Lytechinus pictus: one gene and its partner. The protein of the gene in region 1 interacts with the protein of each later gene in a biochemical or structural test. Links are inferred from orthologs where the notes say so. Each region holds a gene or a part of one and is shown in the gene's direction. Other genes may lie near its edges.

The links.
Region 2: the proteins of ras GTPase-activating-like protein IQGAP1 (region 1) and cdc42 homolog form a complex in vitro, tested with the Homo sapiens proteins (6 studies listed by BioGRID and IntAct). The link is inferred for Lytechinus pictus from reciprocal best matches to the Homo sapiens genes IQGAP1 and CDC42.

What each region holds. Positions count from the first base shown.
Region 1 is NC_087249.1:12,742,708-12,750,254, reverse strand, and holds the start of ras GTPase-activating-like protein IQGAP1, read left to right. Parts: upstream 1-4,514; 5' UTR 4,515-4,575; coding exon 4,576-4,599; intron 4,600-7,547. UniProt on the Homo sapiens protein: Plays a crucial role in regulating the dynamics and assembly of the actin cytoskeleton.
Region 2 is NC_087258.1:1,884,307-1,892,022, reverse strand, and holds the start of cdc42 homolog, read left to right. Parts: upstream 1-4,612; 5' UTR 4,613-4,721; intron 4,722-7,716. UniProt on the Homo sapiens protein: Plasma membrane-associated small GTPase which cycles between an active GTP-bound and an inactive GDP-bound state. In active state binds to a variety of effector proteins to regulate cellular responses. Involved in epithelial cell polarization processes.

The sequences.
Region 1 (7,547 bases):
TTTTATGCCTAAAGGCCTGACCTGTATGTATACCAACTTTCTTCCAAGGAGGAATTTTTTTTTTTCATTTCGGGGGGGGGGGGGGGGGGGGGGGGCTACCCTTCACAACCTACTGAATAAATTTACAGCATTGGAAAGCTATGACATTGCATTGAATGGAAATTTTCCAGGGCTCTTTTGAGCATTCGGGGGGGGGGGGGGGACTGCCCTGAGCCCCCGCATATTTTTATTCCCTGGTGCCAATTCCTTGGGTGTACAATAAATTCTGATGGTGTGAATTGAGGGCATATACCGAACCACACCAGACATATCATCAGCCATGGCTAGTACTTGTGGTCATTGTTAATTGTTTTTATCTCTCGCTCTAATTTGAAAGGGCAGTGGATAGACCAGAGGGATTAGCTTTTACAAGTGCAGTGAACTTGAGGAAGATTCATTTCATAGATCTATGTGGAGAATCAAAGAGAATGTTTGTTTGAAACATGGATAAGCTTACATGAGATTAACAAACATAGGCAGATAACCTTTATTTCATTCAGCAGTGACAAGTGTTAATTTTGTTCAAAACTTAATTTTATACTATATTTGTAGGTCTTTATGAAAAGAAACATGCGCCCTTTAATGGAGTAATTTTTCATGGAGACCCAATTTTGTTTCTATATGAGGCTGCCCTTACCATGAAATAATGTGATGCCTTCATGATGGACAGACCTGCTTTATAAATGCCTTCTCTTCTGACAAGTTCATGTACATTACCAAAATAAAGGCATTCAGATGAGGTTTTGAATTTTGATCTACCCTTTGGTGATCAATTGCTAGGCTCCACACCAACTTTTTTTTCTTGGTGACCCAATCAATTTCATATTTTTGATGACCCGCAAAGCAAATTTGGTGGCCCTAAACAATAGAAAACAGTACAATTTAGCAAAACTTTGGTAGCCAAAAACTTTGGGCCACCAATTGTGGGCTTTTACAGAAGTTTGGTGGCCCGTCTCTCATTTTTGGTTGCGCCGGGCCACTGCTACATGTAATGTCGAGCCCTGTGACTATTATTTGGTGCAATGATAATAATGATAATAATAATATGTCCATTTATATTGCACATTTATTGTATGCATATACTCAGCTGTGCTTTGATACTTGATATCATATTATTACCCCGGCCTTAGCTGAGAAGCCATTTCGACACTAAAGTGTCAAGGAATAAATCCTACCGAGAACTCATTCACCTTGCCTGGGTCGAGTGCAGCACAATGTGGGTAAATTTCTTGCTGAAGGAAAACACGCCATGGCTGGAATACGAACCCACATGCCTCTGATTGAAAGACGAGAGTCATAACCACTAGACGACGACACCCCCACTTAAATAATTTCTTTCGTTCAGTTTTTCTTGGCAAGGCATAAATTAAATTTTTATACAATCATGGGGTGTAAACCACCCCCCTCCCCGCTACTCGTGCAAGTTTCCCTGGTGATTGTGTGAAAGGAATCTACATGTATTTCATAAATTTGGAGAATAGAGAAGAACACACCAGCGCATAATACAGGAACAAACCAGAAATGGAAAGTCTTATCTGATTTGCAAGTGATTCCTGAGAAAGTTGAACACACCTGACTTCTCAAGTCAGTTACCATGCAACAAACTCACTTCCTGTTGATTCTTTGTCTTCCGCCGAAATGGATGAAAATAGATGTTTCCATGGCAACGGACTACAGAGAAGGTAGTTTGCGTCTTGGTGATTGCACTCCGAGGAGCTGCTTCAGACACTTTCCTTGTTGCCCCATGTGTCCTTTAGGGAGATATGATCTTTGATCACAGGCAAACCGAAGCATCACAACTCTATAACTAACAAATAAATCATGCCTGTTTCAAAATGGTTTTTTAATTCATGCTCTTTTTTTTTAAAGCTCAGCATTTACATGTAGACTAAAAATATATTTGTCACGTTCATTTAGCGCTATTCTCATCCTATATTAAATACAAGCTGGGTGACAAACCGCTGTATGAAATTTTTGGGAAAAGCAATGCCTCGTTTTAATGACCAGATGATCTGTCAAGTGATGTCATGTTCAAATCCCTGGTTTTCATTGTTGGAAATAATGATGGTGATGAAGATGACAATAGTAATAATTAAAATGATGATGATGATAATTCATGATAATGTGAAAATGATAATAATGATAATGATAATAGTAGTAATAATAATATTAATAATAATGATGATAATAATAATGATAATAACAATAATAATAATAATTAATAATAATATTGATAATAATAATAACAACAATAATAATAATAATTAATAATAATGGTAGCAACAACAACAACAATAATGATAATAATGATGAGGAAGGGAGCCTGAGCCAAAAAAAGGGAGAATTATGTAACCTCATTAAAAAGCTTGCCAATTTGGGACTTGTTGGTTTTTTTCCCCAATATTAAAATATATAAAAAAGCAGGTTGTTTTGTTTGTCAATTAAGTTTATTGATATTGTTGGAGGATTATCTTCTACTGCTCGGTCACTCGTTACCCCTCGTTCCCTGTACTTCCCAAAGAGATCTCTAAATATAGTATTTAGTCCCCCAAGGCTGTAAGATTCCATTTTATCAGAAACAATCAGGATCAATTTAGGACTGTTGGATGTCGATAACAAACAAAAGTGGAAGCTGATGCGGCTTTCCTTTGCTCCCAAAGGTTAGAATACTTTTCGGTCCATGGGCCGACGCTTTTTAAATGTTGTTCAGTTGTATAAATAGATGAGATGAAGTTGCATGCTTATTTCTCCTTTGTTATATTTTCCATGACAGTTAAAAGAAATACTCAACATAAAAAATAAAAAGGATGGGAACAGTTGAGAAAAATATATATACCTTGAAACGCATGTAAAGAACTAATTCCACCAGAAGAAAAAGAATAGGTCAAGGATCCTGTGACATATAAATATTAAGCGATTGATCTTGTGGCAGATTTTTGTGATTGATCGTGCACAATAATCAATGCAATAAAACATGGAAATCAGTCCCTGATCAACCGGTATTATTATGGGACCTGGATGGGTGTTTCATGAAGCTGTTGGCAAGTTACGAGAGACTTTTCGTATGACTGGCGAACCTTTCTTACGCTCTAAATATCACCAATGAACATTTAATGGTGAATATCATTTACCCGAAAGCAAGGATCCCCAGTTGTTCTTAAAGTCACTCTCAAGTTACGACCAGCTCTATGAAAGAGCCCCCAGGGCCCCGTCTTACAAAGAGTTACGATTGATCCGATCAATCACAACTATGGACAGCCAGCAAAGTCAACCTATAAAATGCATGTTTGTTTTAAAAAATGGCTAGATATGAATGTGTATCCATAAATTCATTGATTTCTTGATGATTTGGTGTGTTCTCTTTTGTTTACAAAAGACATTGTGCAAATTTCTTGTAGAAAAATTATGGCCCTCATGGATTTCCATAGAGTTACGATTGATTGGATCAATCATAACTGTTTGTGTTTGGTCTATTTCTAGTTTGTCTACAACCAGGTGGGTCTTTCATGAAGCTGTTCGTATGCTAACGAGTGACTTTACGTACAACTGGTGACCCTTTCTTGTGGTAAATGAAATACAGCAGATTTTCATAGGCGTTAATGTAGTTCCTAAGAAAGGATCATCAGTCATTCTCAAAGTCGTTCGTAAACTTATGAACAGTTTAAGAAACCCACACCTGAGGCCCGTAACACAAAACTTGGCAATGATCGTAGAACATTTTTCTACGATTGATTGCGTTGACTACAATGTACAATCAATCGTGAAAATCAAGCGTACGATTATTCACTAATCTTTGTGTTACGGGACCCAGGTCTATACAGCACTCTTTTATTAGGTATTAGTATTATGTGTTCAGAACACAAGTAAGAGATAATAATTTCTAGGATTTTATCTGATAGAAGCATATACAATAATTGATATATATATTTTTTCATTACTACCAAGAAGGCCATATCGTCCTGTCGGTGCAAGAACGCCCTTAGCAAAACATCTCCACACACCCCATTGGTGCAGGATCGCCCTTACGCAATGCCCTAATGCTTGCTACTCAGGGCGTTTTTGCGCGCATGCGATGTACAAAAGTATGGTGTTAATGGTGTTCTTGCACCGACATGACAGTATTTGAATGGAATTCAAGTGTTTTTTTCTGCTGCGGATGTCTATAGAGTGTTTTTTTTTCTTTCACAATCTAAAAAAAAAAGAATATTATTATGCCTTGAAAGTCAATGATCAGGGGAGCGTTTCATGAAAGGACTTGTTAGATTTTTTATCCGACAAGTACTGTTTTATCCGACAGTAACTATGGTAACAGTGCCTCTCAGCCAATCATTATCAAGGAAAGTTGTCAGACCTGACAACTTTTCGGAAGAAAATGTTTATGAAACGCTCCCCGGATAATGTTCCGCTTGTTCCTTTTTCACATGAATTTTCCTATATGTTTACACCTTTTTGTAAGGTTTTTAAATATTTTTATTTTTTTAGGCCAAAGGACTTCATTTTAGACACACGGATAACACAGTGCAGTGGATCAGAGCGATGGAGGTTGTTGGATTACCATCGGTAAATATTTTTAATTCATTTATTATAAAGAGTGAGTAGATTACAAATACTTTCATTTTTCAAGATATATTATTTGATAAAATATTGATGATGATGATGAAAATGATGATGATGATGATGATGATGAAGACGACGATGGTGATGATGATGATGATGAAAATGATGATGATGATGATGATGATGATGAAGATGATGATGATGATGATGATAGTGGTGATGATGGTGATAATGATGGTGATGATGGTGGTTATGATGATGATGATGGTGATGATGAATTGATGATGATGATGGTGATGGTGATTCTGATGCTGATGATGGGGATGGTGATGATGATGGTGATGATGATGATGATGATGATGATGGTGATGATGGTGATAATGGCCACTTGTATATCGCATGTATTCATAATTGGAAGTACATGACACTCAGTTATTACTATTTTGATATTCCCAATTCAATTCAAATAATAAAAAATGAAATACAAGATTAACATTTGAAATAAAACATTAACAAATAAGCAGCTAAGAAGCAGAACAATATAATTCAATCTTGTGCTTGAAAAGGCAAGACATGGCTTTTATTCATGATACCAAGATTATACGCATCCATTGTTGTTAATGATATGTATATGTTTATATCTGTAAAGTGCAGTGTCTTTATCTTTCTGTCGTTACATGGAGAATAACAAATTTTTGCTCTCAAGTGTGCCATTGTTATACGATTCACTTTACTCTGAATGGCATTTCCTTGGTTAAAGAAGTATGCTATTATTATATCCTGCTACATAATAGTCTTCAAGTGTTAATGATCTGAGGTCTAATCGTTTGGGAAAAATAATCAGTTATTAGAAATTCGATGAAGATAATGGTTAAGTTGTTCTTAAATTAGAAATTAATCTAATTCCCAGTGCTGGTTTTTAATTTGAGAAGTTTCAAAACGAAAACAAATACTTGATCACGAATGCACTTTATAATTTATCTGTTCATAGTAAGGAGAGTGCTTTTAAAAAGGGGAACTACATTCAGATTAGGAAAAAATAAATTCAGTTGATGGATGTGTGAGGTACATTGTAATTAGTTTTGGAGAAAGAGGTTACAACTAAACTTTGCATTACTATTGAAAAGTAGACATGGAAGTATTGAAATTTGATATTTTTAAAATAATGTATAAATAAGAAATTTTTGAACTGCGTATCCGGGGGTTGCAAGTTTTGTCTAAAAAACTAGGTAAGACTTGAAAGAAAAAAGTCATGAATCAATTAATTGCAAGCTTTTCACTATGGATTGATCATAAAAATTTTGGGGAATTTAGCCCCCCCCCCCCTCGGGGGTTCAGCTTGTTTGAGCATGGACCTACAATAGGTCCATGGTTTGAGTGAGTAGAATAACTTGCTCCTCCCTACTTTTTTCATTGACTCTGATCAACGCTGTAAATTTGAACTTCTCCTTTGAAGTCTGGGTTTTTGGCAGTGAGCCATTGCCTATTTAATTGCATTTCAGTCTCAACATTCAAACTGGGTTGTAAAAAATTAGTCCGTGAATAAATCACACCCTTACCTGTAATGCTGGGTGTACCTCAGACAAACTAATGCCATATCTGTTGGGGTACATTTATTCTAATCATGATATTATGGCAGATCATACATAGTTGATAATGACCTTCGTAGCTCTTTTGATAGTGTTGAACATTTAAACTGGAACATTAAGAAATGAGGGGGGCCCTTTTGTGCAGTGGGCTTGTTTATGAGGATTTTTTTATAGTCCTTTTCTGGCCATTTTGGTAAGTAAAGTAATCTCAGGCCCCAAGTGTTTTTTTTTTAATAAAGTTGGAAGATGTACATTTCGCATGGTCCATATTCCTGGATTGAACCCTCTACTTTAGGCTACGGTCACACCCCCTCAAATTAGCCTGTTCGGTGAGTTTTTAGCCAATTTCGCCTGGGCACAGAGCGGCGGCCGTCTGGGCACCACTGGTTTTTTTTGGCATCGCTCAGTCGTCGCTAAAGATTATTAAGCACGGAGTTAAAATTCTGGAGGCACCTGTTCTTTTATCACTCACTGCCTTGAATACGCTCGGTGCGCGGGTGGTCGCTGTCTGGGTGCCAACGTAATCGAGCGGTCAACATCGAATGATTTAGGCATTGAACTTGTTGGATCAAAGACTGTTGAAGGTCACTGGCTGGTCTCCGGCCACTGGCCGCTCAGAGATCGGTCGATGATCTCGCGGCGAATTCAAGATCGGCTGGGCGATTACTTAAAAATAGGCCGGTGGCCGGTGGGAGACTACCCGGGAATCAGTGGGTCATCAGCTGATCACTGCTTGGACACCAAACAGAAAAGTTCCCCTGATTTGACCCACATTTGGCCTTGAGTATATAATAGGTATTAACCTACAGCTCGCTAGACTTCTACAAATATCTTGTCTAGATTCCAGCGGTGCCTGAGCAGGCTACTCATTGTTGTGACTGAAGCCTTGGCATAATTATTTTCCATCAATAAATGAGGGAAAATATATAATTTGTAAATTCATAGTAATGTTTACATTTGTACTAGTTTAGTGAGGAGCTTACAAGTACAATATTTTACCAGTATTGATTTGATGAAGCAAATTTTCTACTAATATTTAGTATTTATTTTAATTCGGGTTTGATCAAAAGTTTATTGACTCATACACTCTAAATTCCAAGGATTTAAAAATAAATCTGGATCAGCTGTGAATAGTGATCGGCCAAATATTAGATCTATTTTTAAATCTTGTGGATTTGAATATAGCTAATAGATTTTAATTTCAATGTTTTGAGATTTAAAAGTAAATCCTTAACAGCAAAAGGAATAGATGAGGGCGACGGGCGATTTTGTCCTCATAACTGCTGTAATCGCCCCTAAAATTCCCTTAAAAATGCTTTGGGGCGACCATTCTTTCTAGAGTCACCCCGCGACCTTTCACAA
Region 2 (7,716 bases), on another chromosome or scaffold:
AGCCTCCTAATGAAGAAGATATGGCTAAAAATGTGATGTACCTATACGATATATACATGTATGTGATATTTAAGTGCAGTTTACGTTGCTGGTTTCATCATGTACATCAGCTGACAAGGAATCAAATTCACAATCTAATTCTAAACCTTTGAAGCTCATTTCTATGACACTATAGTTTATATACAGGCCTTGACATATGCCATGGTGGTCAATGCATGGATATATGCAGTGTACATGTAGTATGTACAGTGCATTGTACACCGTATAGCCCCTATGGATAAATGACATTTTCTTTTATTTGATGAGATATATTTCACAAATATCCTTAAAAACCCAAAATGGAGGAATAAAAGCAATATAGCTATATGAAGCTGCTTGCTATTGTTGACCTCCTACCATCTAATATCCCAGAACCCCAGGATGATAAAACCCACTTTTTGGCTGAAAAAAGGCTACAAAAATGGGAAAATTTAGGTATAATTACCTTTTAACTCTACAAATAATGGTTTAAAAGTACTTATTATAGGAAAAACAAATTGCCTGCCCCCCAAAACATATGAATAGACACCAAAACCAGAGAAATTGACCACCAAATAAAAAAGTTGTGGCCAAAACTGTGATTTTGGGGGGTTTTGGCGGCCATTTTGGATTTTGGCCCGGCACACTTTTTTCTCGGACCCGAGACAAAAAATATTGTCATTTCATGTTGAGATAAGGTAAAAGGAACACAAAAAAACTGTTCCCACAGTAAAACCAAAAATCACCCATTTATAGCCCACTCCTATAATATTATTCATTCAATCTTCCTCAAATTTTCAACAATATGTTTCTTTGATTTTTCTCTTTGATATGGATTCAGCTGGTTTCAAGGGTTTCATTCTCCTTTAAATACACGCAGCTGCTGCCTCCCTAGCCAGGCGGCTTCTAGAGAGTAAAAATCATTTTCTAACGTAAGGTTACTCTCATACGAAGCCAGGCAGTCCTCCCCATTCATCTGCGTGTACCGTAAGGGCACTAGTATTCAACCCGTTTGGAGAGTTTCCTCAAATATATAGAAATATAGAATTTACCTGAATTTCAGACCCGTCTTATTTCCAAGAGCAAATGCTGGTTATTCTTTTTCCGTTATTTTTTTCTTCAACCAGTTGACTGTGTGCGCGGGCGATCGAATTATAGTCGGCGACGGATTTTGGTACTAGTAAGTAGTATTCAACCCGTCGGCACTAGTATTCAACCTAGCGATGAAAGATGGCCCTGTCTCTCAATCTGCCCTTGTCCCATCCGACTATGGACTAGACCATTTGAGATGAGACCAAACAGGGAATTAATCAAAGCCAGAGATTTACATAGATCTAGATCTAATTTAGCAATCTAAACCCTTTTGAGATTTGCTATCAATCCTCACTAGGTTGAATACTAGTACCATTCAGTGCAAAAGGCCATCGCCGCATAATTCGATCCTCCGCGCATACAGTCGACAGATTGACAAAGAAAATATCGACAACAGATTACTCTGGAAATAACAAAGGTGTGAAATTAAGATAAATTCCCTATTTCTAAATATTTTGGGGAATATGTCAAAATCTTTGAATTATGCCAGGTTGAATACTTGTTTCTTGTTTCTTATTGTACTTCCCCAACGTTACGCGACGCTCGCATCCGTAACGTTGGGGAAGTACAATAAGAAACAAGATGGCGGCGTAAACATCGGGCAAGTCTCTTCCGTCTTTTCACAATATTTTTTCATTTTTTTGATGAATTCTTGTTTTAAAAATAACAACGAGAGCGTAGAAATGTCGGAAATGAAGTTTTATCCCATTTACATGATTTAGAGCTAGATCTTTTAGAAGGAAAGTAGAAATCTCGGGGGCGAAAGTTTCAGGGTTTTTTGCGGTACACGCAGATGAATGGGGAGGGCTGCCTGGCTTCGTATGAGAGTAACCTTACGTTAGTAAATGATTTTTATTCTCTAGAAGCCGCCTGGCTATAGAGTACCGAAGCGATGACGTCAGTTGCCATGGTGTCATGGCGGCCTGGTTCTAAACAAATGAACCCAGAATGAGTGTCATGGCGGCCTGGTTCTAAACAAATGAACCCAGAATGAAAGCGTGCGTTTGTCATAGGAGAAAATGGCTGCTATCGGAATGATCGCTTGCAATCTATTTTTCAGAGGAGCCAAAATGTGTACAGACGATAGTCGGGTGCGATTCTGTTTAGAACCAGCCCGCCATGACACCATGTCAACTGACGTCACACTTCGGTACTCTATAGCCTCCCCAACAAACGGCGGTAGCTGCAGTGCAGGTTATCTAGGGTGTACAGACAGTATTCACTGCAGCGTCAGTGCAAATTATAGGCGGTATTTTTACGGAAATGAAACCGATCGATGGCAAAAACTGTTGGATGATTTACCTGCTAAAATGATTGAGGTATACATCGAGCATACCTCAAAAGAAAGAGAATGACTCGATGAAACTACAGTACCAGTCACAATTCTTTGACCCACTGTTACCTGGTTTTACAATTAGATCAAAGCGACGGGTATCGTAGCTTCGCAATGTCAGCCATTGTTATACTGACTGTAGGCTCAAACATGATATGATAGATGGCGCTGTCCGTATTGAGTCCTAGCGTTAGCTAGCGAGACATGCATTGTTTTTCCCGGGAAACAAAAGAGAACGTGATGAATTGTTTGCGCTGCGCCCTGATTTACTGGAAAGTTATTTTGCCTAAGTTCTGAAAAATAATGCTGTTGTAGGTAGACTATATTGGAAAATATATGTAATCAAAGTGAGTTTTTGTATAGGATTGAGTTTAGATTGAAATCTCATTTCCTCACGTACTAGATTGAATTGAAAAAAAAGAAATCTCCGGATAATAGAGAGATCCGGATAAGGAGAGGCAGGATAAGAGAGGTCGGACTGTGTAGCACTTGTCTTAGTCTTACTCTTTAGAGTCTTAGTCTTACTATTTTTGTCTCACCTGCATAGCAGAGTGAGACTATAGGCGCCGCTTTTCCGACGGCGGCGGCGGCGGCGGCGGCGTCAACACCAAATCTTAACCTGAGGTTAAGTTTTTGAAATGACAGCATAACTTAGAAAGTATATGGACCTAGTTCATGAAACTTGGCCATAAGGTTAATCAAGTATTACTGAACATCCTGCCTGAGTTTCATGTCACATGACCAAGGTCAAAGGTCATTTAGGGTCAATGAACTTAGACCATGTTGGGGGAATCAACATCAAAATCTTAACCTAAGGTTAAGTTTTTGAAATGTCATCATAACTTAGAAAATATATGGACCTAGTTCATGAAACTTATACATAAGGTTAATCAAGTATCACTGAACATCCTGCATGAGTTTCACATCACATGACCAAGGTCAAAGGTCATTTAGGGTCAATGAACTTTGGCCGAATTGGGGGTATCTGTTGAATTACCATCATAACTTTGAAAGTTTATGGAGCTGATTCATGAAACTTGGACATAATAGTAATCAAGTATTACTGAACATCCTGTGCAAGTTTCAGGTCACATGATCAAGGTCAAAGGTCATTTAGGGTCAATGAACTTTGGCCAAATTGGGGTATTTGTTGAATTACAGCCATAAATTTGAAAGTGTGTTGGTCTAGTTCATAAAACTTGGACATAATAGTAATCAAGTATCACTGAACATCCTGTGCGAGTTTTAGGTCACATGATCAAGGTCAAAGGTCATGTAAGGTCAAAGAACTTTGGCCACGTTGGGGGTATTTGTTGAATTGCCATCATATCTCTATAAGTGTATTGGTCTAGTTCATAAAACGTGGAAATAAGAGTAACCAAGTATCACTGAACATCTTGTGCGAGTTATAGTAGTTTTCAAAATCAGCACTGCTGCTATATTGAATCGCGTGATGCAGGTGAGACGGCCAGAGGCATTCCACTTGTTAGTTCTTACTCTCGTCTACGATCTTACTCTTAGGCTTAGCCCACCCTGGCCATGGGTGCTTTACAAGAAAATTGAAGGCACAGCGCATACAAAATTGCAACAATTGCATGGCAATCCCGCGAATTTAAAAAGAGGTTTTATAAAATCAAGTCCTTCTACAAAACTTACCGAACGATGTGAAGTCAATTCCCCAAATCATGCATATCTCTCAAATAGCGTCATTTAATCGCTGATTTCTCTTTTCATTGATAAAATATGGATCCGTCTTTTAATTTCCAAAACTTTTCATCCAATTAGCTAAAGAGGGCGCGCGATTTATCTTCATATCAAAGACACTAGATTGAAAGGACTAGCCACAAAAACTATTTTACACGTAAATCGATGCAAAGCGTTACGCGAAGTCGGCAAAGTGTCCAATCTTTTTATAGTAAAGACTTTGGTGGAAAGTTCGTTGACAAACGAACAGTAGCACTGCTGGCTTCGTTCAAGGCACATAGAATTGTCTATTTTTTTGTTTTATTTGTCATCGCTTTGAATGTTTCAAAAAGTATTATCGTCAGCAAAAATAATCTAAAAAGTATGTTTTTAAGTTATTGCATTTATTGGTGTCTACATTTTATCAAACAATCATGGGAATATCGCATACATGTACAATGAATCTAGAATCTTGACTTTTTCTAGTTATAAAATACAGACGAGCTGAATTAAGGTTGTGAATTGTATTAGCGCCACCAATGACCTTCCTCTCATTTCCGTGGAAGAGACATGCGAAGCCACTTTCCTGGCCGAGGTAAGCGATTTTGCTCTTTTATGTGCTATGATATAAAAATTCTAAATGGAACGCCCATCACCAGAAAAACCCCTGGTGAGTAGCGGAATGAGTTTCGGATAACATTAAATCCATTATGAAGCGGTGTTAACTGACAACTAAAATATCCACGCGTAGACACGTTTGTAGTGCAAGGTTACATGTAGTATAGCATACTAACCTCGAGGGCTGTTATCGTTGAGAAAATTCTCTGTCGATATCATGCTTAAAGTATCTTAACGATATCGACAAAAGAACATAATCAATACGCATTTTTATGCATTATAGCGATGTCACATACTCGCGTTGGCCAAAATTTGTATCTGCCACTGTACCAATAATGCTTTGAAATACGCGTTCATCGGATGTAAATGGCTACATGGCATCTTTAACAATAGCAAAAATACATCCTCACCTTTCACGTTATTGGCATTTTTTTAGGGTTGGATGAAGTTTTATCGATAATTTTGGGGCTTTTTGGACATCGTTCTGAGCAGTCAACATCTTTTGATTATCAGCCATTTTGATATCGTGCTGTACATGTTCAAACATAGAGGGCAGCAACACACAGCTCGGCTGTCCTACGTTAGTTGAGCTTGCGCTTGTGATGTTTTCGATTCGATCGAATAGAGTCGAGTGCAGTCACGATGTTTGGATTCGCTATAATAATAACAAAGTGGGGTGAGATCGTGTTTTGTGGCTAGTATTTTTGTGAGATTTTTGAGTAATTTCTGTTGCTGTTCTGTGCAGTTTGATGAAAAATATGTTTTCCGTTTGAAACGCCACTTTCAAAGGGCCATTTCCGTGAATTCCGTGAAATCGTGGAAAATCACTGTGTCCCTACATAATTGCGGGTATTATTGATCAAGAGAGAAAGGTTATTGATATCGCTAAAAGCCCTACTAACCTCACAATACGTGTGAGTGGTCTTTTAGCCTAACTTTACTCTTTAATAGCAGTTGTCACTTGTTCTGACCGAGTTCTGAATGAACTGCTCAGTTCCCCCTTTTGATAGATGATAAAGGGCATAAGAATGAAAACAAAATATGCAACAATGAATTCTGGACTATACCAACAATCAGCTTACCAATACCAGTACACCTACATGTAGGGACAGTGATTTTCCGTTTTACCGGTACATACATGTAAAACGGAAATTCTGTTGGTTCTTGTACTTTTCATGTAAAAATTCATGGAATTCACCTTTGCAAAATGGAATTCAGGTTTTTGCTGTGTGCATTTTCAGTGACAAAACAGAATTTCCATTTTTAGATCAAGTTGAAACAGAATAACAGATTTTCAGAAATGGAAAAGACCATTTTTTTAAACGGAAAATCACTGTCTCTACATGTATACACCTACGGCCGTTACACGGCAAAACGATGTACATGTATCTGCAAAATGCACATTCTTAGAAAAATCACTTTGAAGTTACAGCTTTTGTCTTCAAAAGAAAATTTCCCAGTGTTGAATTTAGTTAGATAATTTAGATTTATAAGAATGTCATTGAATTCATCTCCCTTAATAGTTTTTATAACATTTAACTTTTGTTTTTCATCAAAATAACTTTTTTTATGTAGATACACCATCATGTAGCCAAGATATTCAACTGTCCACATTAGTCCTACGTTTATGGCAAAATGATATATCTGCAGATACATGTACATCATACAATTCCTACAGCGATATCATGGCAAAAAGGTGTATCTGCACATACATGTACATCGATTAGTTTCTATGGTTGAATCATGGCAAAGTGATGTATTTGCAGATCAAAAATACATCATTTTGTGTTTAAGGTCAAATTCAATTTAGCCATGAAACAAGCCTTTAAAACTTTAAAGATATGACAACTGGTAAAAGGGTGTAATTTGCACATACACACTTTTACCATAAACTAGTATCTGACTTTTGTTGGCACAATTTGTGGAAAAAGATGTACAGTAGGTTGCAGATACATGTACACTGTTTTGCCATAAACTAGTCTCTGAAATTCGTGGCACACAGTTTGTATGTTGTGCAGATACATCTTTTTGCCATCAACTAGTCTATGAAGTTCGTGGTTCACCGATTATGGTAAAAATATATGTTGCAGATACATCCTTTTGCCATATTTCACGAAGCTGGGTGCGCTCACTCATTTGATGGAAGAAAAGTGTAACTAACAGATACATCTTTTTACCAAAGATCATTGCGCTCTTCTGCGGCACTTTTGGAGTGTATCTGTAAGATACATCCTTTTACCATCAAACGAGTAGGCAAATTTGAAAAAAGTACTGCAGATAGCCCAAGCTACAAATGTATCTTGAAAACTAAAATACCTGTAATTATGAGAGTAAGATAAATGAAAAGAGCTCCCTGAAAAACCCCACCAAATGTCAAAACCTGAAAAAGTCAAAATATTCAGATACCGGTACATCGTTTTGCCATGTGACGGCCGCCTAGCCAGGAGGCTCCTAGAGAGTAAAAATCATTTAGAACTACATGTACTAACGTACATGTATGCTTACTCTCCATGGAGGCAGGGAATGCGTTCCCATTCATGTGTGTGTACCGCGAAAAAAACTGAAATTTTTCCCAGAGATTTCTACTTTCCTTCGAAAAGATCTAGCCCTTAATCATGTAAATGGGATACAACTTCAATTTCCGACATTTCTACGATATTGATTTCATTTTTAAACAAGAATTCATTAAAAAAACGAGAAAATTATTATGAAAAGACGGGGAATACTTGCCACCGTGTTTACGTCGCCATCTTGTTTTCTTTGTTCTTCGCCAAGACTACAGCATGCATATCGCCTTTATTTCAGTGCTTTAAAAATGACAACTAGAGGAAATACAATCAAGAAAATTTCGCACTTGCTATCCCAAATATGAAAATTATATACAGTACTTGTGGAAATGGAGAATTCTCCATAGAGACACTCTCTTGTATTCTACCGTTAAGGTCAGAGATTGCTGATATCTGTAGAAATGA